Oryzias latipes: one gene and its partners. The protein of the gene in region 1 binds, or shares a complex with, the protein of each later gene. Links are inferred from orthologs where the notes say so. Each region holds a gene or a part of one and is shown in the gene's direction. Other genes may lie near its edges. The genes, in order: pigt, pigu, gpaa1 and pigs.

The links.
Region 2: the proteins of pigt (region 1) and pigu are in contact, whole or in part, in a cryo-EM structure (PDB 8IMX), measured with the Homo sapiens proteins. The link is inferred for Oryzias latipes from reciprocal best matches to the Homo sapiens genes PIGT and PIGU. Residues at the interface, in NP_057021.2 of Homo sapiens: Tyr361, Gly362, Leu363, Gln364, Lys365, Arg394, Leu395, Tyr396, Val397, His398, Tyr416, Pro418, Ala419, Gln420, Asp421, Arg422, Gln445, Glu447, Leu450, Leu451, Lys452, Trp453, Thr454, Pro518, Thr519, Pro520, Asp521, Phe522, Ser523, Met524; in NP_536724.1 of Homo sapiens: Glu30, Lys42, Arg43, Val45, Glu46, Ser49, Leu50, Leu53, Val55, Ser59, Gly60, Ala61, Val62, Pro265, Asp266, Leu267, Pro269, Leu273, Trp275, Tyr276, Phe277, Phe278, Ala279, Glu280, Met281, Phe282, Glu283, Phe289, Phe293, Asn296.
Region 3: the proteins of pigt (region 1) and gpaa1 are in contact, whole or in part, in a cryo-EM structure (PDB 7W72), measured with the Homo sapiens proteins. The link is inferred for Oryzias latipes from reciprocal best matches to the Homo sapiens genes PIGT and GPAA1. Residues at the interface, in NP_057021.2 of Homo sapiens: Gln91, Gly92, Phe93, Arg95, Arg97, Tyr98, Ser108, Phe211, His212, Thr213, Ser214, Asp247, Phe249, Ile250, Arg340, Gln355, Tyr357, Val358, Ser359, Gly360, Tyr361, Gly362, Leu363, Leu371, Tyr373, Lys441, Asp459, Pro460, Asn461, His462; in NP_003792.1 of Homo sapiens: Arg97, Ser98, Val99, Gly100, Glu102, Tyr104, Arg134, Ala135, Pro136, Arg137, Ala138, Ala139, Ser140, Thr141, Glu142, Arg171, Gly172, Gln173, Ile174, Tyr199, His200, Asp201, Val202, Leu212, Gln213, Gly214, Arg215, Ala218, Arg311, Tyr312.
Region 4: the proteins of pigt (region 1) and pigs are in contact, whole or in part, in a cryo-EM structure (PDB 8IMY), measured with the Homo sapiens proteins. The link is inferred for Oryzias latipes from reciprocal best matches to the Homo sapiens genes PIGT and PIGS. Residues at the interface, in NP_057021.2 of Homo sapiens: Pro26, Arg27, Val63, Ser64, His65, Tyr66, Arg67, Lys71, Gln75, Lys79, Tyr80, Val133, Gly136, Lys191, Leu193, Pro194, Cys195, Ser196, Lys198, Ala199, Glu270, Pro271, Pro273, Leu274, Tyr526, Ile529, Cys530, Cys533, Val536, Ala537; in NP_149975.1 of Homo sapiens: Thr9, Glu12, Val13, Gly16, Ala19, Ala20, Phe23, Thr230, Pro238, Lys239, Tyr244, Ile247, Glu248, Val251, Gln256, Val270, Asp271, Ser272, Gln273, Ile274, Tyr276, Tyr277, Met279, Ser309, Arg310, Ser313, Ser314, Ala315, Ala316, Phe513.

Annotation. Positions count from the first base shown.
Region 1 is NC_019865.2:9,037,319-9,042,121, reverse strand, and holds part of pigt (GPI transamidase component PIG-T), read left to right. Parts: coding exon 1-65; intron 66-443; coding exon 444-571; intron 572-1,629; coding exon 1,630-1,730; intron 1,731-1,845; coding exon 1,846-2,020; intron 2,021-2,095; coding exon 2,096-2,193; intron 2,194-2,332; coding exon 2,333-2,489; intron 2,490-2,857; coding exon 2,858-3,058; intron 3,059-4,803. UniProt on the Homo sapiens protein: Component of the glycosylphosphatidylinositol-anchor (GPI-anchor) transamidase (GPI-T) complex that catalyzes the formation of the linkage between a proprotein and a GPI-anchor and participates in GPI anchored protein biosynthesis.
Region 2 is NC_019863.2:32,754,269-32,760,214, reverse strand, and holds the start of pigu (phosphatidylinositol glycan anchor biosynthesis class U protein), read left to right. Parts: upstream 1-2,357; 5' UTR 2,358-2,403; coding exon 2,404-2,533; intron 2,534-3,853; coding exon 3,854-3,918; intron 3,919-4,022; coding exon 4,023-4,082; intron 4,083-4,156; coding exon 4,157-4,219; intron 4,220-4,285; coding exon 4,286-4,395; intron 4,396-4,474; coding exon 4,475-4,575; intron 4,576-4,643; coding exon 4,644-4,741; intron 4,742-4,821; coding exon 4,822-4,976; intron 4,977-5,060; coding exon 5,061-5,204; intron 5,205-5,290; coding exon 5,291-5,415; intron 5,416-5,485; coding exon 5,486-5,628; intron 5,629-5,946. Other genes in the region: psmf1 (proteasome inhibitor PI31 subunit), read right to left, coding at 740-886, 1,403-1,531. UniProt on the Homo sapiens protein: Component of the glycosylphosphatidylinositol-anchor (GPI-anchor) transamidase (GPI-T) complex that catalyzes the formation of the linkage between a proprotein and a GPI-anchor and participates in GPI anchored protein biosynthesis.
Region 3 is NC_019875.2:26,756,409-26,762,302, reverse strand, and holds the start of gpaa1 (glycosylphosphatidylinositol anchor attachment 1 protein), read left to right. Parts: upstream 1-2,471; 5' UTR 2,472-2,595; intron 2,596-3,790; 5' UTR 3,791-3,821; coding exon 3,822-3,895; intron 3,896-3,975; coding exon 3,976-4,155; intron 4,156-4,250; coding exon 4,251-4,362; intron 4,363-4,477; coding exon 4,478-4,625; intron 4,626-5,125; coding exon 5,126-5,227; intron 5,228-5,420; coding exon 5,421-5,617; intron 5,618-5,697; coding exon 5,698-5,894. Other genes in the region: exosc4 (exosome complex component RRP41), read left to right, coding at 125-295, 1,051-1,257, 1,343-1,699. UniProt on the Homo sapiens protein: Component of the glycosylphosphatidylinositol-anchor (GPI-anchor) transamidase (GPI-T) complex that catalyzes the formation of the linkage between a proprotein and a GPI-anchor and participates in GPI anchored protein biosynthesis. Binds GPI-anchor.
Region 4 is NC_019872.2:12,612,314-12,618,331, reverse strand, and holds the start of pigs (GPI transamidase component PIG-S), read left to right. Parts: upstream 1-2,070; 5' UTR 2,071-2,183; coding exon 2,184-2,202; intron 2,203-2,758; coding exon 2,759-2,898; intron 2,899-2,992; coding exon 2,993-3,104; intron 3,105-3,181; coding exon 3,182-3,271; intron 3,272-3,353; coding exon 3,354-3,445; intron 3,446-3,557; coding exon 3,558-3,798; intron 3,799-3,881; coding exon 3,882-4,024; intron 4,025-4,113; coding exon 4,114-4,228; intron 4,229-4,320; coding exon 4,321-4,466; intron 4,467-5,264; coding exon 5,265-5,365; intron 5,366-5,444; coding exon 5,445-5,655; intron 5,656-6,018. Other genes in the region: aldoc (fructose-bisphosphate aldolase C), read left to right, coding at 368-460. UniProt on the Homo sapiens protein: Component of the glycosylphosphatidylinositol-anchor (GPI-anchor) transamidase (GPI-T) complex that catalyzes the formation of the linkage between a proprotein and a GPI-anchor and participates in GPI anchored protein biosynthesis.

The DNA of each region.
Region 1 (4,803 bases):
CAGCCATTTATACCCTCTCCTCCAGGAGCTGAGCTTTGGGTTTGGTTCCAGGACTCTGTGACTGAGTGAGTGCTGCCCTCTAGTGGCGTTGTCACATTAGTGCTGAGAGTTTCTGCACACCTTTTTGAAGGAGAGGGGAAAATCTCAGTGATTTATGTAATTTAATTAAACCGTGAACACATATTAATCTGCCCAAATGCAACATTACTGGTGTAGAAACATTCTTGTTTAAGAAATATTGTAAATCTTAAAAACTGGAAAATTTCGGTTTGTGCTAAATGGGGATTGTGGGTGTTGCTAAGGTCCAATCTGCAAAGTTTCATCCTCAAAGGAAAAATGAGTATTGGCATTCTTGTTGTTTCAAAAAAAAAAAAAAAAAAGATTGGGTACGCCAGGACAACTTGAGTTTTCTCACTTCTGTTTTTTGATGTTGTTATTTTTAGTGTCGATGCCACCTGGAAGGAGCTGACCAACGTTTTGTCAGGCATCTTCTGTGCTTCACTGAACTTTATCGACTCCACCAACACCCTGCAGCCCAGCGCTTCATTTAAACCTCTGGGAATAGGCAATGGTACAGTCCAGCCTCCTCAGCATCCTTTGGCATTTTGCCTTGCGCTGTAGTCATGTGTAAAAGCTGATGATGTGATGCAAGGCATTAGTGGCGTCTCCATGCTAACATGGCAGAAGCTTTTTGCAGAACATGAATAAGATAAGCAGCTGTGTCAGTGAGAAAGAGGAGAATGGGAGAAAAAAAATGCTGCTAAAACATTTTTCAGATGTCACCACAGCTTTTCAGTGGGATCAACTTCAGACTTCAAAAACCGTTAAAATTGTTTGACTGGACAACATCTATTTTAATATTTTTCATTTAAAGAACCACTCTGATGAAAACTCTGTTTTTTGGTGATTTTAACACATTCTTGTGGCATTTTTCAGGTGATTAATGACACATATTAAGAAAATTAAGCTTAAAATTTTCTTTCTGAGTATTTCTTGATTCAAATTATCAGGAGTAGATGAAAACATTCAGTTGGAAAGAGAGTTCATTTGCTACATAGAAAGTAAGCTGGGTGGGCCATGAGCTCCCTGCTCTGCAACGGGGGAACGGTCCCTCCCACAACTCTGAGGCAAATTTCGGATACATTTTTGAAACTGTCCTAAAAGACAACACAGGTTTTTGGATTTTGTCTTAAAATGCATAATTGCAATTTAAATTCCACCAGTAACCTTTTGAAATTTTATCACAAGATGTTTGGAGTGGAACTTTCTATGGACAAGTTATTATTGTCTAAAAATACGTTTCTACAAGATGTTTTGCTGCATTAGGCTTAAATGTACTTTTTCTGCTTGTTTGGTCTGAAAGCCTTTATCCATCCATTCCTGCCTGTAAAGCATCACAATAACACAAATGTTTTTTAACTTGTTTTTGCAGGAGAAAAGACACCCCACACACAAACCCAAGAAATGTTTTGTAGTCATTCTGATGCTCACAGGGTTTTACGGAAATTGCACACATACCATAACACTGCTTGTAAAGTAAAGACATGTCTGAAATTGCTGATCAAGTCTTCCTCATTTTGTTTACTATTTATGTTCACTATTTTACGATTGCTGTCTAAATCCTTAAAGAGACAGACCACCGCTTTCTCCGCTACGCCACCCTTCCACGGGAAATTGTCTGCACTGAGAATTTAACCCCCTGGAAGAAACTCCTGCCGTGTGGATCCAAGGTGAATTTCTATGTCTGTCTGCAGGCCGTGTGTTCAAAGAGTCAGCAGTTATTTTATTTTTAGTTTAAAGTTGTATTTTTTAATAAATAACTGAGTTCTTGTTTCGTCTTCACAGGCCGGTCTTGCCGTCCTGTTGAAGTCAGAGAAGCTCTTCCACAGCAGTTTTCATTCCCAGTCTGTGCACATAAGACCAGTGTGTCAGGACCGGCAGTGTAAGTCTTCTTCTTGGGAGCTGCGGCAGGCGCTGAACGTAGTCTTTGACCTGCACACCTCTGGACAGAGCAAGCGTGGTGAGCAGAGGCCTTCCTTAGACTCCAGCTAGCACCCTGGTGGTCTTTACTAACTCCAGCTGCTTCTGCATGTAGAGTGGTCTCTGTTCAAGATGTTCTCTCGGACGCTGACGGAAGCATGTCCGCTGGCTTCTTCCAGTAAAATATACATCGACGTCACAGACAACCCTCAGGTCTGACCGTTCATTCTAATCTTTCACCCTTTCACAATCCAGAAAACCAGCAGTTGGAAAAGGATTTACCGCAGTGATATTTCAGTTTCAAGATAAAGTTGTTGTGATGATATGTGACTGGAGACGATGCATTTTGCAGGAGGAGCAGTTCGAGCTGAGTCCAGCCACTCCTCTGCTGAGCCAGGCGGTGGTGCTCGGGGACAGACGCACTTTTTCCGTCTACGATCTGACCCAACAAGTCACCTTTGGCACTGTGCGCTCCCTCAACCTGATGATTCGTTGGAAATCCAGTGAAGGTGATTGTCTAGAGCAGGGGTCCCCAAATCCAGGCCTCGAGGGCCGGTGTCCTGCTGGTTTTCCTGAAACCCTATCTTATTTGCTGCTGATTACCTTGATCAGGTGTGTTTGGCCAACTAGGAGCTTCAATGGCAGGTTGGTTGGAAAACATGTAGGACACCGGCCCTCGAGGCCTGGATTTGGGGACCCCTGGTCTAGAGGGTGAATGAAGACGCTTAATCCATGTTTCTTCAGCTTTAGCCAGGATTTGAAAGCAGAAAAAGCATCCCTGCTTTGGCTCTTTACTTGTTTTGTGCTCAGAAATGATAAAACACAAAGAGGATATATTTGTATCTAAATATGAGCTCATCTTGCCTTGTCCCTGCAGGTGACATGCTCCGCCCACTGCTTCACGCTGAGCGTTACGTGGCTGGATACGGTCTGCAGACAGGAGAGATTCATACCCTGATGTACAACAACCACCCGTTCAGGTCCTTCCCGGTGCTGCTGCTGGACTCCGTGCCTTGGTATCTGCGCCTCTACATCCACACACTCAAAGTCATCAGCAAAGGGAAGGACAACAACCCCAGTGAGTTTCTTTGCTTTTTAACGCTGGGACGTTTGTGTCTCACATTTACAGACAAACCACAATTTTGTTTGGGACGTTTATCAAAAGATGACAAAGTTAAGTAACTATGAAGCTACCAGCTTTCAAACACGGATTAAAGTCGCGATTACCAAACAGTGTGTACTTTTGAAATTTGTTTCCAAACTCGAGGGCTGCATCCTTCAATGGCCACCGCCTTCACGGGCGGCGTTGGGCGGTTCCTTCGTCGAGCGGGTAGGTCGGATGTTAACAGCTGTGAATCTTGCTGAGTCTAACCTTTAGATGATTACAGCCGTTACATCAGCGCATGTCCTGTCGCCTAGCAACCTTGTGTCCCGAACAGAGAGGAGTAGTGAACCAAGCGAGGAGCTCAAAATTTTCTGGCTTATTTGATCCAACTTTTAATCTTGGAGGTGAACATATAAAAAGGTGTAATTATTCTCAACTCTGGGTCCCGCTTCACATTCCACCATTGTTGTCAGAAAATCTCCGGGTTCGGCTGCAATGCATCTTGGGATATGGACAGCACAGAAGGATACACCAGACCAATCCCAATCCTTGAAATCGGGAAAAAGAGGTCTGCTGCCTTTGAAGGAGTCGTTGAATTTGGACAGCACTTGTCGCGGCGCTGTGACGTAAGCAGCCTTCAAATGCAGCCCAGGCAGAACGCAGGCAGAACCTACTGGTGACTGAGACTCATCTGTGTTAAAGCGACTTTCCTGTTGAAGCCTGAGGAGCCAATGGGGTTCAGTTTGTGTAAGACGCGCTTCATTCCCATGTTTTGCATGTTTACTGCACAAAAAAACACTCGGAGAAAGTTACAGCTTTGCTTTGAGTGAATGAACTTAATTTAAAAAGGTGAATGTGAAGAAAACTGTAGCGACAAAGTTGCCTCAAAATAGGAAACAAATCTCTTCTTCTCAATCTCGAATGCAGGTGAGCGGGCACTTAACAAACTTTTCACCCAGGTGTCACTAACAAACTGTAGAGGTAAACCATCCAAACTACAAAGGAAATGAGGAAATGTGCAACAAAACTACATTTTGGTTCCTACAGTCTGCATTTCGCAGAAAAGCAGAAGAAAAGCAACATCCAATAGAAAGTGGGGTTATTAAACAGCTTATTGAAAACAACGTAAATGAGTTCATAGCAATATATTTCTTTACAAAGTGTGGTCAGTTTTGCATCACATTGGGTTTTTGATCTGTTGACATTCCAGTTTTGGTTATTTTGTTCTAAAATAGTTTCAGCATCAGCATAGCTCGTGCTGGTTTGCGGCGCCTTCCATCCGTGAAACCAGGGTTCGACTCCGGGCTGCTCCCTGTTCCCTTCTCTACCTTTGTGCCGGTTCCAAGCCCGGTTTGAGAAGGTTGCGTCAGGAAGGGCATCCGGCGTAAAACATTGCCAAATATACCATGCGACTTGTTCGCTGTGGCGACCCCTGATGGGAGAAGCCAAAAGAGGAAGAAGATCAGCATACCTACAATAAAGTTTATTTTATGGCATTTCCAATTCTGTTGGTTTACTACTTGTTCTGTTGATCCCTAATAAATACAGATATTATCCAGTCATCATTCTTTAGTAGGTTAAGCAACATTTTACTGCTTTTAACAGCAACTTCAGGGTCGCACAGAATGCTGATAGAGGTGAAGGGGATGAAAAATCAATACGTCTTGCACTTTCCTTTTTCACCACAAGGGGGAGATGTTAAATCAAGCATTTTTAGT
Region 2 (5,946 bases), on another chromosome or scaffold:
ATGTTCGGCTCTTTCAGCTTTTTCCAGCTGTGACTTTTGGTCCTTCAAATCCTTGAACTTTTCCAGATATTCCAGGATTTCTGCCTCCATTTAAATAAATGGGGAATCCTTGGTGCAGAAGCTCGCTGGTTTGATACCCGGCTCTGGCATTTTTCACAAACATTTTTGTTATTGTGCTGTTTTCACTTTATTTATGGTCAACTTTGATCATTTCTTTATTTTTTGCCCGTTATTCCCCTTTAAGTTTCATTTTCATTCAGCAGTACAGCATTTAACCGGCATTTTCTTCTAGAAATGCAGCTCCTTCTAGTTTAAGTTTCTTTTTGAAGACCTTTTCAGAACTTCTGCTGGGAAATCAAAATAAAAGAAAACCATCAAAGTTCAAACCTAAAGCCATCTGATCTTCATTCAGAAAACCTTTGTTAAAATCTCTGACTGCTCTCTATTTTTTTAATTTGAAGCTATTCCACTAAATCTTCACCTTTCAACAGTTCTGAGATGATAAATAACGCCTTTGTGTGCTCCCTACATCATCAAAACACGTCTGATGTTCTAAAACGAGCCAAATGTTGCCATGAAACCTAAAAGCGGCCTCTGTGTTTTTAAATTTCAGATTTGTTTCTCTGTCGTCTCAGATGTGAGGTTCGCTGCAGACTTTTTGCATTTAATGCTTCGTTCTCCCTCATTCCAGCAGAGTGCCCACCCCCTCATGTCCTGAAGGACCCCCCCCCATGCCTACCATCAGGTTGAATATCACAGCAGAGTCCACGGGGACGGCTTTCAGCAGCATCTTTGCGTCCGCGCCTTCGTAGCGGAGACTGTACAGCTCCTTGTTGCTGCTCCAGTCTGCAGGCAGGAGCTCCGACTTCCGGTCACCGCTGCGGGGCTGGGGGGAGGGACGGGGGCGGGGGGGGGGGGTGAGACACCCTCTCTTTCAAACGCTTCTGTGCCCCCCCCCCCGCGCTAAAGATGACGTGACACTTTTTGCGGAAAGTCCATTTGTTTAGTATGAGACCAAATGGCGCGTGCCAACTGCACGAGACTAAAAATCGGACTAAAACATGACTCAATGCAGAACTTTAGGAGGTCAAAGGTCACCTAGATGGAGGAAGAAGAACCAACTCAGCGGAGGTTTCCTCTGAATCGCCTGCAGGACAGTTTCAGTTTCCATCCTGATCCTCCTGCTAATGTAGCAAAGCTAACATTTATTCCCACAGACTGAGAGTTTAAATCAAAACTGTAACTCAGAGGGACTTCAGAGGCTGTCAACAAACTACGATCTAAAAGTAAACAAACAGCATTAACTTGGTTCGTCTCGTATCTTAAATGTGTTTAAATAAAACCAGAATGTGTTGTTGGTTTGTCTCTTCTGGTTCTGCTTAAGTTAGCTAGTTCGACCCACCTCGTCTCCGGAACCGATGCACCGGTATCCTCCCTTGATCATTTCCCAGTGAACGAAACACACGAGGGCGTCCTGAGGACAAGTCAGGCTACCTGTGACGCAGGTGTACAACACCTCCAAGCCTGCCATGTTGTCTCACAAACCAACAGCACAGAACAAGAACAGAAAACAAAAATCGCAGAGTCGTCGCTTCCATAACAACCACAGCGACTTCCTGCAGGGATTTTCAAAGTAAAAGCACGTGGCTTTTAGAGGATTGCAGAAAACACATACGACACGCTAAAATAGTATTGTAGACGTGATACAGTCACAATTTAGTAATCAGATATTTTTAAAACGAACAACGATAATCTACTTCAACGTGACGCTAACACAGGCCCACAAAAGCGTTAATTTTATTTTATTTTTAAATACGCCCCCGGAAACAGTAAAATAGTTTATTCCAACTAGACGGCGAGTTGCAGTTTTGTTTTGATCCGTCACATAAATCTTTCGACTGAAAACACGCAAATGACAAAACATTCCGCATTCCGGGGTGATTAAAGAAAAACGCCTGTAATATGTGCTATATTATTGTTTAAAATTACAGCGTCTTTATGTATATTCAGCATATGCAAAATTAGAACTAACAACAAGATCATATGAAAACTCCTCTGTTGAGATTAAACTCCTTTTCAAGTTGTTTAAAATGTGTTTATTTACCTTTACACATAAAATTAAATACAATATTTGATTAAAACAAAATTCTAATCTTGATTTTAATTGCTTGAATTATGCGTTTTAAATAGTCTTTTTGTAAATATGTTCCTTTATTATTATTATTATTATTATTATTATTATTATTATTATTATTATTATTATTATTATTAAACTCGCTCCTTATCGCTGCTTGGACTGTAAATCTGTGGAGGTTGGAGGTAAATGTTTTCCTGACGAGACGGAATAAACTTGACTTCCCAGCATGCACCTCGAGCGCAGGGCGAGAGAGCTTCCTCGCGAAGATGGCGGCTCCCTTGACGCTCCTAATGATTGTCGCCGTGACGGTCCGTGCCGTTCTATTCCGGTCCAGTTTGGCGGAGCTGATTTCAGAGAGGGTGGAGGTGGTGTCACCGATTACTGCCTGGAAAAGAGGTGAGCGGGCCGCCGGCGGGGGTCCGGAGCGCACCGGTCACACACGCCTCGCACCCGCGCGCCTCCCCGCTGCGCCGGTAAACCGGTTCGGCGACAAAATCTGTCACAAAAGAAATCTGTAAATGTTTGGAGAATGGTCGACGAAGGTGAAACGGTGTCAGACTCGGACTCTGATCCGATTTTTGGTCCCCAAAAAAACCCCGAACTGAAGGAACTCATCTCTGATTATTATCATCGATTGTTACTCGTACAAGTAATCTATTACATTTGAATATGACACTGTCAGAGCTGTAACGCCTTCATTAACTGAAAGTGACTTCAGTCAAAGTAACGACAGGAGGTTCTGCAGAGGAGCTGTTGGGTTGTCCTGCAGGTTCTGATGGATGAAGAACATGTTTGGGTTCATCCATGTTCCTGATCATCTGATCTGTTGTCAGATTGTTCCCGGTCGTTTGTTTCTGATGATGATGCCGTTTTTAGCCCAAAATCCTGTCTTTTTCTAGGACATAGTTTCTGCAGAGCAGCTGGAGTTCAGTAGAAATCCACCTCTCCTCTGAGTTGCCTGTTGGCATGGAGCAACCCCGCCCCCCTTGCCCTCCCCTTTGCTGAGAGCTCTCTGTTTCCACGCTCTCCCGCTAACATTAGCGCAGCTGTCCAGCCGCTCAGTTCTGATCCAGATTGCAGGAAGACAAAGACGTTCATGGGTCTCTCTACCTGTCTGCAGGTGGATGCATCAGAAAGGGGCGGAGCTGGGAGTTTGTGGCCCCGCCCAGGATATTTTTTGTCGACATCACAAATAGGATGTTTTTCAAACGGCATAGTTTCGTCTGCTCCTCATTCACAACGATTTGAATAAAGAAAAACTCAGAAATGCAACTTGAAGCTTCATTTTCTTCATATTTGTCCCCATCATCAGAAAAATGCCACCAGAACGCTTCGTTTTTCTGATGCATCTCTGCAGCTCTAAACAGGTTTTCCCTGATTCACGACGAGAGGAAATGTGGAACATTTAACCAAATCTGATCTGTGAACTCAGCACGGCAGAAAACAGACCATAATATTCAGTCACAGCAGCCAACGGGACGTATTTAGCAGGCAGAGAGGGTAGCATTCCTAGTGTGCTGTGGATGCGGTCTGACTTTACAAAAGGACGGGGACGTCAACCGTTCAGGAGGTTGGAGGCGGAGCCTGCTGCTCAAACAGACAATAGTCTAAATGTTTTGTGGGTTCTGAGGTTTGGATCCTTTTCTGATGAATCTTCCTGATCATGAACCTACCGCCTCAGACTGAGGACTCTGTTGTGGTGTGGTTGTGTTGCAGTGATCGAGGGTCTGGCTCTGCTTGACCTGGGAGTGTCTCCGTACTCTGGAGATGTTTTCCACGAGGTGAGTCACAAACCAAAACACCTGAAGGTGACACCTTCGTCCGACCTGAACGTGGGAAACGGCGGACGCTCAGGCCGGACCTCACCACATGTGTTTGTCCGCAGACTCCGCTCATCATCTACCTCTTCCACTTCCTGGTGGATTATGCAGAGATCACCTTCATGGTGAGTCCCTAAAGGAGGTTCTGGACGTCAGGAGGTTTGTGGCGGATGTGTGGAGCTCTGCTTTGTGTCCTCAGCTGGCAGACGTGGTGACGGCCGCGGCGCTGTACGCAGCAGCCAAGGATTACAACAAACAAGTGGTGAGAAAGCTGCAGAACCTCTGCACGTAGATCTGCTCTCACCCAGACTCTGTCGTGTTTTTACAGTTCAGAAAACAGAAGTTTGCGTTGGAGGCGGACCGCTACCCCCCGGACTGTCTGGAGCTCATCAGGACCCCCTTAGAGATGCACTACGTCCCCCTGAAAGTGGCCATGTTGTGAGTCCTCCTCAGAGCTCCGCCCCCCTCCGCTCTCTGGGCGGAACCAGCAGAAGCTTCAGCTCTTCTTCTCCCGCAGTTACCTGCTGAACCCGTTCACCATCTTGTCCTGCGTCGCCAAGTCCACCTGCGGCCTGAACAACATGGTCATCTCTCTCTTCATCCTCTGCACGGTCAAAGGTCGGCCCTCAGACTCCGGCTGGACCCCTTGTTTGGCGCCTGGACCTCTGACCTTCTCTGCGTTTCAGGAAACGTGCTGCTGAGCGCCATCTTCCTGTGTCTGGCCACCTATCAGTCCGTCTACCCTCTGACCCTGTGCGCTCCTGCAATGCTCTACCTGATGCAGGTGCGTCTCCTCCCAGTGACGGGAGCGTCCCGGCGCTCTCCTGGTCTCTGACTCCCGTCTCCCTGCGTCTGCTCCTGCAGCGTCAGTACATCCCGGTCAACCTCCGGCGCGTCAGCTTCTGGTGGTTTGTGGTTCAATACCTCTTCATGTACCTGGGCAGCCTGTTCGTCCTGGTCTGCCTGTCCTTCTTCCTGCTGGGCTCCTGGGACTACATGCCGTCCGTCTACGGCTTCATGTGAGTGAGGATGAGGAGGAGTGAAGGGTTTTAGAGATGGTTTCTCCCCCGTGTGATGGATGTTTCCTGCTGGTTTCCCTGCAGCCTCTCCGTTCCTGACCTGACCCCCAACATCGGCCTCTTCTGGTATTTCTTTGCCGAAATGTTTGAACATTTCCGCCTCTTCTTCCTCTGCGTCTTCCAGATCAACGTCTTCTTCTATACCATCCCTCTGTCCATCAAACTCAAGTAAGTGGGTCTGATGCGGTCGCTGCAGAGCTTTTCTCTGCTCCGGTTCTTCAGCGTGTCTGCCTGCCTTCATGCTTCTGCTGCAGGGAGCATCCCGTGTTCCTGATCTTCATGCAGCTAGCCGTGATCTCCATCTTTAAATCCTACCCCACCGTGGGGGACGTCGCCCTCTACATGGCCTTCCTCCCGCTCTGGAGTCACCTGCACCGCTGTGAGTGTGTGCTCCAGGTTCTGGCGTTCTCTGGCGGCGCCGAGGTTTCTCAAAGGTTTCTGTTCTCCAGTCCTGAGGAACATCTTCCTGGTGTCCTGCGTCCTGCTGGCCTGCTCGGCGCTGTTCCCGGTCCTCTGGCACCTCTGGATCTACGCCGGCAGCGCCAACTCCAACTTCTACTACGCCATAACGCTGCTGTTCAACGTGGCGCAGGTAAGGAGCGGCCTGAGGGGGGCGCTGTCAGGTTCAGCTGAGAAAGGGGCCAGCAGATTCTATATTCATGAGGACGTGAGAATATTTTAAAGGGCCTATATTATACTTTTCGCAAGCTTTTCATAGTAAACTATATTCATTCATCTATAATATGTTCCCGCTAAATAACAAACTTTTTATTAAATATTAATTTTTCCTACCCAGAAGTAAGACGACTGGATCTTTGGGGCTCCGCCTTTCTCTCTTTGTGGGTTCCGCCCATTTCATGACATCATCCTAGAGCCGGCCTCTGCAGCGTGTCTGCGATTTTCCCACGAA
Region 3 (5,894 bases), on another chromosome or scaffold:
AATAAATATGGAAATCTTTTTTGCGACACTTTCTTCCGACGTTGCTGTAACTGCTCGAAGAGGATGATGGTTAATGTAGTACATCAGTAGACACGTGTGTTGTCGTGTAGTTAAGCTAGGGAAAATGGCGGGTCTGGAGCTGCTGTCTGATCAAGGATACCGGTTGGATGGAAGAAAAGCTACCGAGCTGCGCAAAGTCCAGGCCCGCATGGGGGTGTTCGCTCAGGCCGACGGTTCCGCGTATCTGGAGCAAGGAAACACCAAAGCTCTGGCGGTGGTTTACGGCCCGCATGAAGTGAGTGGCGCGCGCGCGTGGAGAAGTGACGTAAAAACAACACCACCAGTCTGTTCATGGCAGCCAAAGAAACGGTGCAAACTGCGTTTAATGAAGGATTAAGATATTTCTATGTAATGTGTCAGATTTAAAGGGATATTTTACATTAATGTAATGATTTTAGTATAATACGTTTCCTTCAAAGCATTTTATTGTATCAGTAACACAAAATGTTTACTTATCTGGCTCGGTCACACAGTACTTACTAACAACTGCATTCAAGAGTTTTTGAACTTGTTATGCTATTCTGAGGTAAACTTACTGCTTTTGAATCTTTGACTTGCTGAGAAATCCAAGTTAATTTGAGGATTTGTTGGTTAATTTATTCATTTACCAAAAGTATTCCAAGCCCCAAATATAACAGCCCCTTACCATGACACCATTACCACCATGTTTGACTGTTTGTGCAATGTTTTACACTAGAGTGATGCGAGGCACATCACCCAAAATGTTTCACGGTTATCTTTTCTGTCCTGAAAGTCTTTCCTAAATCTTGTAGAACATCGATATTTCTGATGGAAAACCTGAGATGTTGTTTTTGCTCATCTGTGCCGTTGACCTCAAACTCTCCCATGTCTGGCGTTTTTATTGTCTGGTTTACCTCTGATGATGGATTAAAAAGCTGTTTTACTCAAAGGACAGATGTATGCCGCCCTGTGAAAAATGTCAGACCTTTTTTATGGTTCTCCTATGCTTACTTCCTGTTTCCCATTCAGATTCGAGGTGCTCGTAGTCGGGCTCTTCATGACAGAGCCATTATCAACTGCCAGTACAGCATGGCCACCTTCAGCACGGCGGAGAGGAAGAGGAGACCGCACGGAGACCGCAAGTCCACAGAAATGAGCCTTCACCTCAAGCAAACGTTTGAAGCTGCCGTGCTGACCCAGCTCTACCCACGCTCCCAGATAGACATCTATGTCAAGGTTGGCCTTAGATTTATAGTATACTGCGCTCTACTTCATAGCATCTGTTTTCGTCATTGTTTTAAGAACGTTTTCATCATTCAAGATTCTTCAGTCCGACGGGGGGAACTACAGCGTTTGTGTGAACGCCGCCACACTGGCAGTGATCGACGCAGGGATACCGATGAGGGACTATGTGTGCGCCTGCACAGTGGGCTTCGTGGATGAAACCTCTCTTGCCGATCTTTGCTACGCAGAGGAGAGCGGAGGAGTGAGCTCTCTGGCTTTGGCGCTTCTGCCCCGCGGAGGGCAGATCGCTCTGGTCCAGATGGATGCCAGACTGCATCAGGATCACCTCGACACTCTGATTGAGGCGGCAATGACCGCTTGTAAAGGTGTGAGCAAAGTCCTGGACCAGGTGGTCAGGCAACATCTCCAAGAAGGTTCTACGCTCAGAGAATAATGGTGAAGGAAAGAGTAAACAAATGGTTTCCTGGGATCAACACTTATTTTGTCGTCATTCTTAACATTTTATTAAGTATATTTGTGCATAAAGAATAAATGTGAATGTATATCGTTTCTTTGTATTTGCATTTGTTTTATTAGCTGAAAACTGACCTGTTTTTGATGCAAAAATCAATGTGATCAACTGAAACAGCAACATCAGCATTTTATATATAAACAGATAATAAAGCTTTGTTTTCAGACTGATACAATAAGAACCTTTATTTTAAACCACACATCCGTAAGAGTAAACAATTTGTGAAAAATTAGATAATTCTTATATCCAATTTATTTAGCTGTGTTGATATCTTACAAATTTTCACCAAAACAATACTTTTTATTCCTGAATGAAATGCTCTGTTCATGTGTTTAGTCTTTTTTTTTTAGATTAATTTTCTTTGATTTGTTTTGCAGACAGGCTATTCTGCTTTTGCTTTTGTTTGTTGTAAAAGTAATTTTTATGTCACAATACAATACATGTTTTGTAAGAGTTTCAGTCCGTTGAGGCTGAATAATCTATCATTTTCTTTACCTGCTGAAACAAAATTGGTATTAATGTAACTTACTTTTTAAAGTAACTTTTCTTACATAAATCTTTATTAGAATTATTGCATATTAAAGTACATTTTCACTGATTATTACAAAAAGATGCGTGACTAAGTTTAAATAATCACATTTTACACCACCTCTGGAATATTTTGATAAATAGAGATGTATTTCATTTTTGACCGGATATGCATTTTTCAGACCGGAAGTTGGTCCACAGAATTAACGTTCCCGCGGGAACAAGGAAACAAAATACTTCAGCAGCCCTGGTGTGGAAGCGTCGCCTCTGCAAGTGTGACTAGGTTTGAGGTACATTTTTTTACGTCTTAAATATATCACATTTATAAACAACGTTTACACTTTTGACGGATGGTATATATTTTTAAATACTAACGATGCTGTTCTGTCGAAGCTAGCAGCATTAAGCTAACCATCATTCATGAAGTTGAATGAAACGACGAGAGTCAGAAGACATTATGTTAATATTTGTAGTTATAATTATTTTTATCACGACCACACCAGCTAAAAAAAAGTCTAAATGATTCTAAAACGGTTGTATTTTTCTCTGCGTGGTGGTACAAGCTCATGGATTCGTCCAAAAATCAGTGCAGGAGTTAGTGAGAGTGAATCCCAACATGCTCCTCTGTCTAAAGTAGCTTTCTTCAATGTCTGGTTCCGAGCTAAAAGTGACGTCTAATGAAATATGACTGAAGGGCTGTTTCTCCTATAGGAAAAAACAGTAATAGTTAAGTTAGAAATCATCATCATAAAGTCATATCAGATTTCAGATTAAGACCACAACTAAATAATATCTACATAATCAATCAAATATTGAGATTCGGAGATCCCATGTCCAGATTTTAGAGTTTTCATTTCGTGCAGGCTGGATGACTGAAACATGCTCCTCTTGAAAAATAAGTAAAGACAACAAAGCTGCAGCTCATTCAGAACTTTGCTGTCAGAGCCAGGAGAACCGACCACATCACTGCGGTTCTCAGGTTTTTATGCTGGCTAAAAGTCAGAAAAAGGAATGGATTTCGATTTATAGCCTCTGCTACTGCCTAACTATGTAGCCACAGAGGCAGCCCAACGGGTCCCCCTGTCACTGTCCCTAGCCTGGTTAAATATAGGTTGTGTCGCGTAAAAATCCGCCCAAACCACCTCTGTGAAAACAGCACAAGCTGTTTTGCTGTGGCGACCCTTGAAGAAATTTGCTGAAAGGTGAACAAAACTGTATGTATAGCCACTTAAACACCTATCAGATCTATTTATTGTCAAATACGCAATAATTGTTAACATGTGGCACAGATGAAATGAATATAATTTGGGATTTTAACTTATTATTTTGATTCTTGAATCTTCCCTGTATTATCAAAGCTCTTGCATTTCTTGAAACCCTTTGAACGGCCTTTGTGTTCATCATTTGAGAGCTCTTCATTTGCATTATCAAGGTCTGGAGGTCTGTCTGTTAGTGGTCTGTACCTTTTCTGCCTTCTGGTTCCAGTAGATCCACATATCCAGGATAACGAGACGACATGGGGCTGCTGTCTGACCCCAATAGAAGGCAGGCTTTGATCAAACTGCTGACCCGCCTCAATGCTCCAATCTGGTGAGTTGTGTTATTTTTCCATTGCTCCTCTCATACTGAGTGTTAGAATGTTTTAAATTCTCCACGCCTGTCCTCGTCAGCTTCGTCTGCTACTTTGCGGGTGTTGCTTGGTTCATGGGTCTGGCGTTTGAGCCGTTCACCCTGCGGACCTACATGTCAGAGAACGCCATGGGATCCACCATGGTGGAGGAGCGCTTCCCTGCAGGCGAGAGAGCGCTGGCTACAGGCCGAGAGTTTGCTGCTCACAAGAAGAAAGTCGGGTAAAATGATTGTATCAATACAGAAATGAGTTTTTTTCCCCCTACAAAATCTCCCCTTAAGCTTAACTAAGCTGTTCCTCTTGGCTTCTCGTCAGTGGGATGCCGGTGGACTGGCTGGTGAAAACCATGCAGGCTCGAGGGCTGGAGGTTTTCACGCAGAGCTTCTCTCGCACGCTGCCTTTTCCCGATGAAAACACTGAAAGATACGTACGTTTCTGTTGAATTTATGTTTAAATCTTCCAGTTTGGTTGTGTTTTTAGTGTTCAGATGACAACATACCCATTTTCTGAGTATATATGTCTTTTTTTTTTCTTCCTTGCAGGTTGTAAAAGGTACAAATGTTTATGGGATTCTCCGAGCACCTCGAGCTCCGCGGACCGAAGCGCTGGTGCTCAGTGCTCCCTGCACTCCAGGTGATAACAACAACCAGGCTGTGGGACTGCTGCTCGGTTTGGCCCATTACTTCCGGAGTGAGTACTTCATCGACACAGATCAGACGAAAGAGTCGCTCTTTTTTGTCTAAATCAGTGTTTTTCAACCTTTTTGAGCCAAGGCACACTTTATTCTGGACAAAAATCCCGCAGCACACCAGCATCCAAAAATGAAAAAAGGAGAAACATATATAGATGTACAGTCCCTCTGCAATCTCGCATGCATTTTTGTGATATGTGTGGCAGAAAAAGCTGGAAGTTGCTGCTGTTTTTTTCTAAAAGATGTAATAAAAGTTAAGTTAGCTTTCAGTAATAATTTTCAACTAAATTATTTGACATTTTTCCCTGGTAGTTGTTTTTTCCTCCAGTCTATTAACATGCAATTTTATGTAACCTAACATAAAACCTATCCTGGAGATGGTAAATGTTTTTAGATGAGTGAATGGGTAATTTCCCACGGCACACTGGTTGAAAAACTCTGGTCTAAATGACCTCCATCTGAGATGAAACTTCTCAATAATTTCTCCTCTTTCTAACAGATCAGGTTTACTGGGCCAAAGATATCATCTTTCTGGTGAATGAGCATGATCTGATTGGGATGCAGGCCTGGCTGGAGGGATACCATCACACCAATGTCACAGGTGAGCGCTATCTATAAAGTAACTTCAGTAGTGCTTTCATGACGCTCAGGATGCCTTACAGGCCCCAAATGCAACACAAAAATAGAAAATTAAATGAACTGTTTAACATAATTGTGCCGCCTTCTCGCTGACCTGTGTTTCAAACAGCAAGGCTTTAGGTCTCATAGAAGTTCTTGTTGATTTGTCGGCGTAGGCATGGACTGGTCTCCCCTGCAGGGGCGCGGTGGTTCGATCCAGGCCGCCCTGTCTTTAGAGCTCAGCAGTGACGTGGTCACCAGCTTGGACATCGTTCTGGAGGGTCTCAACGGGCAGCTCCCTAACCTGGACTTGGCAAACCTCTTCTATGCCTTCTGTCAAAAGATTGGAGTCCTGTGCACGATCCAAGGGAAGGTAAGGCCGGTTCCTCTAGGAGGAGCATGTCCCTCCTCACTGATGTTTGGAGGGAAGCTGAGAATTTCTTATGTCTGCAGCTGCAGAGGAACGACTGGGACAGTGCGTCGGGGTACAACCACGCGGTGCAGACCATGATGCTGATGGTGATGAAGCAGGCCAGCGGGCGGCCCTGGGGCGACCACGGCCTGTTCCTGCGCTACCACATCGAAGCCGCCACCGTTAAGGGCGTCAACAGCTTCCGTCACTACAAAACCGACGCCACCACCATCGGCAG
Region 4 (6,018 bases), on another chromosome or scaffold:
GACTGATTTGTCAGATCTTCTATAGGGCCTTTTGGGAGCCAGTTTTTTTTAATCCTTGGTACTCGCTCTCTCTGTCCGTCTGTTTTTCAGATATTAGGCTATAGGCAGGACAAAACGTCCAATACCTTAAAGACCCACTCCAATGAAAATCGAATCGTCTTTTCCGTGTGTTTAACATGTTCTTGTGGCGTGTGGCACAATTGACCCGCCCTCAATTTAGAAGCAAACTTAAAATGAACTCCTGCCGCTCTGCAGAAACTATGTCCTCGAAAACAACACGGGTCGTTCTTTGAAATCAAGCATGCACATCCAAGCACAGTAAAAGTCTTTCCATCCCTAAAATCTTTTTTTGTTTTTTCCTTTCCAGGCGAATGGCCTGGCGGCTCTTGGCAAGTACGCATCATCTGGATCCGGCAGCGCCGCCTCGCAGTCTCTCTATGTGGCGAACCACGCCTACTAAACATAGAACGACCACATTCAGCCGTGGTCTAGTCTTAGTCTTAAATCTGCTCTTCTGTCCCTTCTCACTCCTACATCGACCACAGGCCTGCGCTCTCTATTAATATCAGAGTTATATACATTGTTAGATAAATGTATTTTAAAAGAATGTGATGTTAAAATTTCAAAGGGAACAGGCTTATAGTTTTTTTCCCTTCTTCGAACAGTTTGTGACAGTTTTGGGGCAAATTTGAAATGTTACGCTTGTGTCTCTGATGAGGCTGAAAAGCGGAAGCCAGAGGCTCCAGAATGTGATGAAGATCATCGGTCAGTATTGGTTTCTTGCCGCTTTGAAAATGCGCCTGCCTCCATGTCAGGTGCCTTCTCCCTGCGAGCCCCCGAGCAGGCTAAAATCTGCATGAGTGTTAGTGTTGCGCTTCCCGTTTGAAACCGTATAGGCTCATACCAACATCCACATTGACAGTGGGACCAACTAATACGTAGGCATCAGTTAAAGCACAGTATGGCGACGAGAACGGTGAAAGATCTGAACTGGGTTATCCTTCTGATAGACGGTCCCAGCAGAGATCACACGGTACTGTAAAAACCCGCTCCACACCGGCTTTCACCCCACTCTTTTCTTGTGTTCCTTCTGGACCTTAATACATGAACTAAAACCATCATTTGTGTCTTTTCTGTATAACATTAGCTCTCAGAGTCACGCAGTAATTGATGTGTTTTGTTATGTGAAGGTGTCAATATTGTGTGATGCATGTGTCACCTCTGCCCCCTGTCCTGCTTTTCCCTGCTGGCCCCTTAGGAAGATCAGAGGAAGTCTATTGAAATGTATGTTAAAAATAAATGAATAAAAGGACCAACATGTGGGACCAGCAGCACAGAAACATTCACTGCTTTGTTGAAATACTGTTTGTGATGTTAATATTGTTCTTGAAACACGCTGTGTCATGTAGTGGAGATAATAAACTAAAATACACATTAAACCTGATGGAGACTCCATTTTTGTGTTCGATCCCCTCTGGTTTGACTGTGGCCTCTTTTGCCTTATTTTTATTTTTTTGGAGCAAGTAAATGTTTTTAAAGTTCATGTTTTTTTACTTTTATTACCTTCAGTATTTAAATTAATATGCTCTTGTACATTTATAAACCCCTGTCTGGGTTATTCTGTTGGTACAATATTTTGTCACATTACTAGCTGCCTTGTCATTTAGAAAAATCATCCATAAGATTATAATGGACGAAAATTCAGTTTCAGTCAGAAAGAGTTTAAGTGAAATTTAAATAAATTTATGTAAGATTTAAAATGACTTGTTCTTGCCGTGTCATTCATAGCAGCATAAATTACACTTAATATACTTCTACTAGAAACAGAATCCCGCAAGAATATATTTGTTCAAAAGAGGAAGAAATCTCTGGGATCAATTGGATAGGTCAGCCTATCACCACAGGAGGCGCTGTTGAGAAACTGTTTTTTTTAAGTACGTTAAAAAATAACACCCGGGGAGCCGGCGGTGACAGTCATTTTATCTGAAATTGAATTTTACCAGGGTTTTCATTAGACCATTATAACAATGGCGTATTAGAACATTGTGTTACTCTTAAAGAAACTGTAGCTACATATCAGTAATATCTAGACTTTTGCTTTATACGCATTTTGTTTCAGCTGTCACGTGACACACGTGGCTACGTCTGTCGTGTCAACGAGCGCACTACTTTCATTGACAGAAATGGCCACCACGGAAGTGGGTGAGTGAATTCATTGCTCGGTTTCTTTCTATGAGTTTTTAATGTGAACGTTTGTGGAATTAAATGTACTATGTTGTAAATGTTCATGTTGAGACAATAATAGATGATGTAGTTGTTGGTCATTTTTGTCTTGTTATGACGCTCTGATGCTAACAGCTAATTAGCTACATACTGCCTGCTCAAGACAAGTGCAACCAAACAGTTTTATTCTTATATCTTTGTCTTCTAACATTTTAAATCATCTGAAATGTCAACAATGACTTTAATATCTCCCCGGATATAGGTATCAGGATTATTTGGCCGTTTAATTTAACCATTAAAAACAGTTACATATTTGATTGATTTATTTAGAATTTGGAAGAAAGTTTCATAAATTTTTATTTTATTTGAACTTAACTGTCCTTCTATTTAGATGCAAAATGACGAACAATAGCAGTTTTTTAAGCAAGCTGTTTAGTGAAATATAAATCAAATATAAGTTGTTTTTTGTAACCAAAGACATTTGTCTTATGTTGAACAATTAGCAACAACAATGTACTTCTGGCATTTCTCTCAGAGCGCAGACGAGGTCAGCTTGCTGCCCTGTCTATCGCCGCCGTGGTCATCGTCGTTGGGGTCCCCTTGTGGTGGCGAACGACTGAAACCTACCGCGCCTGGTTACCTTTCAGCCAGATAAAAGACCTCTCTAAACTGCAGGTCTGTCTCTGTTCCGGGATATCACCAAACTCCCCGGTTAACGTATCTTCCTTTTGCGTTTGTGTGTTGGAATAGTCTTTATCTCTCCTTGCAGCTGCATTTAAGTGCTGATGTTGAAGTTGTGTTTGCACGGGGCACCCTGACACCTGAGCAGCAGAAGAGGCTCCCCCTGACCCAGACGCAGGATGAGGAGCATGCAGTGGATGGTGACGCACTTTAGAATCCTGGATTTTGAGGTCATGCAGTCCATACCAGCATGAATAACGGTTTCTCCCATTTCTAGAGAACACAGTTTTGAGGTATACTCATGAAATAAAGTACCAAACAGCTACAATTATGGAAGAGGAGGCTCTGGGCAAGCCCACCGCTGCAGGTGAACTACCTACCAAATAGTGTGTTGTGTCAGTGAAACCTCATGTATAGTTACTTCTGTCTGTATCTGTGTCCTTTTCCAGAGGCGGATCTATCTCTGCACATGCTCAGTGAAAGTCCGTGTGGTTCTTCAGTGGTGTATGTGATTCCTGAGGTCTCCTCGCTGCTACCAGAGGTAAAAGCTGTTCATACTTCTATTGTAATAGTGATTTTTTTTTTTTAAACTCATAGCTTTCAGTCATTTTAGTCTCTTGATTGTAAAGAAAACTTTTTAAAATCCTCTTTAGAATGTCAAAGTGTATATTGGTCAACGCCGGACGGCCATCCTACGCATCAATGCTGAGATGAGAGCAGGAAAGACGGTAGAGCAGCTACTGGATGTCCTGAAGCCTCAAATCAAGCAGGTGCTTCAGGTGATGTCTTTTAGTCACACGGACATCACAGCTGCCCTCAGTGATCGAGTCCGTTTCAACCCTGGCAGCAAAGAAAGTATGACTCATAGTATGAGAGCCTTTACATTCAGTCCAGGTTGGTTTTTATCTATGGTTTGGTAACATTTCTTTGCAGTCCTTTTTCCGCTTATATTCTGTGCTTGTCCTTACCTTTTTTAGGTTATGAGATAACTTTCAGTCTGTTGAACCCTGACCCAAGGTCACACAGGCTCCATTGGGACATAGAAGGTGCTGTTCAGACTTACATCCAGCCTTTTCTTACCAAACTTTCTCCTTTGGCCAACTTCAGCATAGACTCTCAGGTACGAGAGGCAGCACTGCACACGTTTCAAAGTTCAGAGTCATCATGAAAAGTCACCCTGCAGCTTTGTTCTTCATTTGCTTTTAACAGATGCTACACTACGCCATGCTGGGTGTCAACCCGCGCTATAACAACGACCGCGGCGCCTTCATACTTCACGCCGACAGCCTTGCTCATGTCATCAACCCAGTGGAGGCCAGACTTGGTAAAACTGTTGTTACTTGCAAATACTGGCGATAGAATACAATGGAAAAAAGGGGAGCCGTTTTTTCTTACGTTAGTCTCATTCAACTCCAGGTTCCAATGCTGCCTCCTCCAACCCGGTGCTGAATTTTCTTCTGTATGTGCCAGACGCCCAGCATTCACCACTTTACATTCAGGACCACAAGAAAATGGATGTTCCTTCGAATGCATTTCACTCTCCGCGTTGGGGGGGGATTATGGTAAGAAGACTGATCTTTGGATGATGTTAAAGACTCACTCTGATCATCTTTTGAGATATTTTAAAAGCCTTCCCAGTGGTCTTTTAAATATAATTGAGTGTTTTTAACTCCAAATAAAATAAAATAAAACGATTGTTTTCGAGGACACAAGGAGCTTGTCTCATCATATATTTTACGTCAAAAAAGGCTCTTTTTTTTTTTTGCCTGCTACTAATTTACAACGATTTGAATGAAGAAATGCAATTCTAAGCTTAAATTTCTCTAAAGTGGGTCTTTAACAGGATGGTACATTTTTTTTCTTACTTTACTTTGTGTTATATAATTTATGCAGCCAAAATGTTCTCTTGTGGAGTAAAATTGGAACAATATACCGGTATATATATATTTTTAAGTATATGTGGGTATAAACTATGCCATTATAATTACTATTATTCATAAGTAGACATATTTGCACTTAGACATACAGAATATAACACATGTAATCCATTAAATGTGAACATTTGTCAAAGACTTAATTTAATTGCTTAAAAAACACTTTTAAGCTTTAGTTAACTATGTATTGTTTCACATTGTTATCATAATCTGGTTCTTAACTTCTAATTAGAGCTATTTACATCGATAATATACATCTCAACTCGTCACATGGAAACAAATCCAACAACATGGAATCAGACCTTTGTATCTGTGCTCTTTTTTGCTAAATGTGTTCAATCTTATTCCTCTGGGACTTGACATATCTTGCAATAAATGGCATATTTTTGGAGCCTTACTTACTTTCACCTACTACTGTTTCTTTAGGTGTATAATGTTAAAAATCTCTATGGACCAGAGGCTGAGTTTCCTGTCAACATCAACATAAACATGGCTGAAGTCATGGGGGTTTTCCTGACGCAACTTCGGTAAAAAAGTTTTTTCCTCTGGAGCAAATCGTCTTTCTCTGCTTCACACTAGAAACGTCCCATTAACGTGTCGTTTTAGGCTGTTGGTGGGCATGGAGTCCTCCCCTCCTCCCCCAGGCTTCTTGGTGGCTCCGTGCGGCAGCGTAGGACTGGCTGACTGGGAGCTGGACCGTCTCATGTGGAGTCGGAGTGTGGAAAATATTGCTACGGCGACCACAACCATCACTTCTCTAGCGCAGCTCTTGGACCAGATTGGAAACATTGTCATAAACGACAACATTGCCCAGCAGGTAGACGGCATCCTCAGCTGTAAAAACATTTCTTTGTCTGTGTTGTTTATTCATATGTGCTTCTGCAGGAAGGGGGGTGAACTTGGCCCTTTTTTTAAGCCCTAAATTACTTTAGCTTTTATTATTTCAACTGTGAGAGAAACTGTAGTGAAAACCAGACCATAGAAAGTTTTACGGCAGCTTCTATGTAAGCTGAAAATTAGGATGTTAGAGCAAATAACCTCTATAACAAATAAAATGTTCCCAGTGGTCTTTTAATTATGATTTGTGCAATTTTTAGCCACGTTTTTTTTTTTTAAACTGTTGGATTCTAAGACAGTTTCTGCAGAGCATCAGTGCTTCATTAAAACTCACCCCTGAATC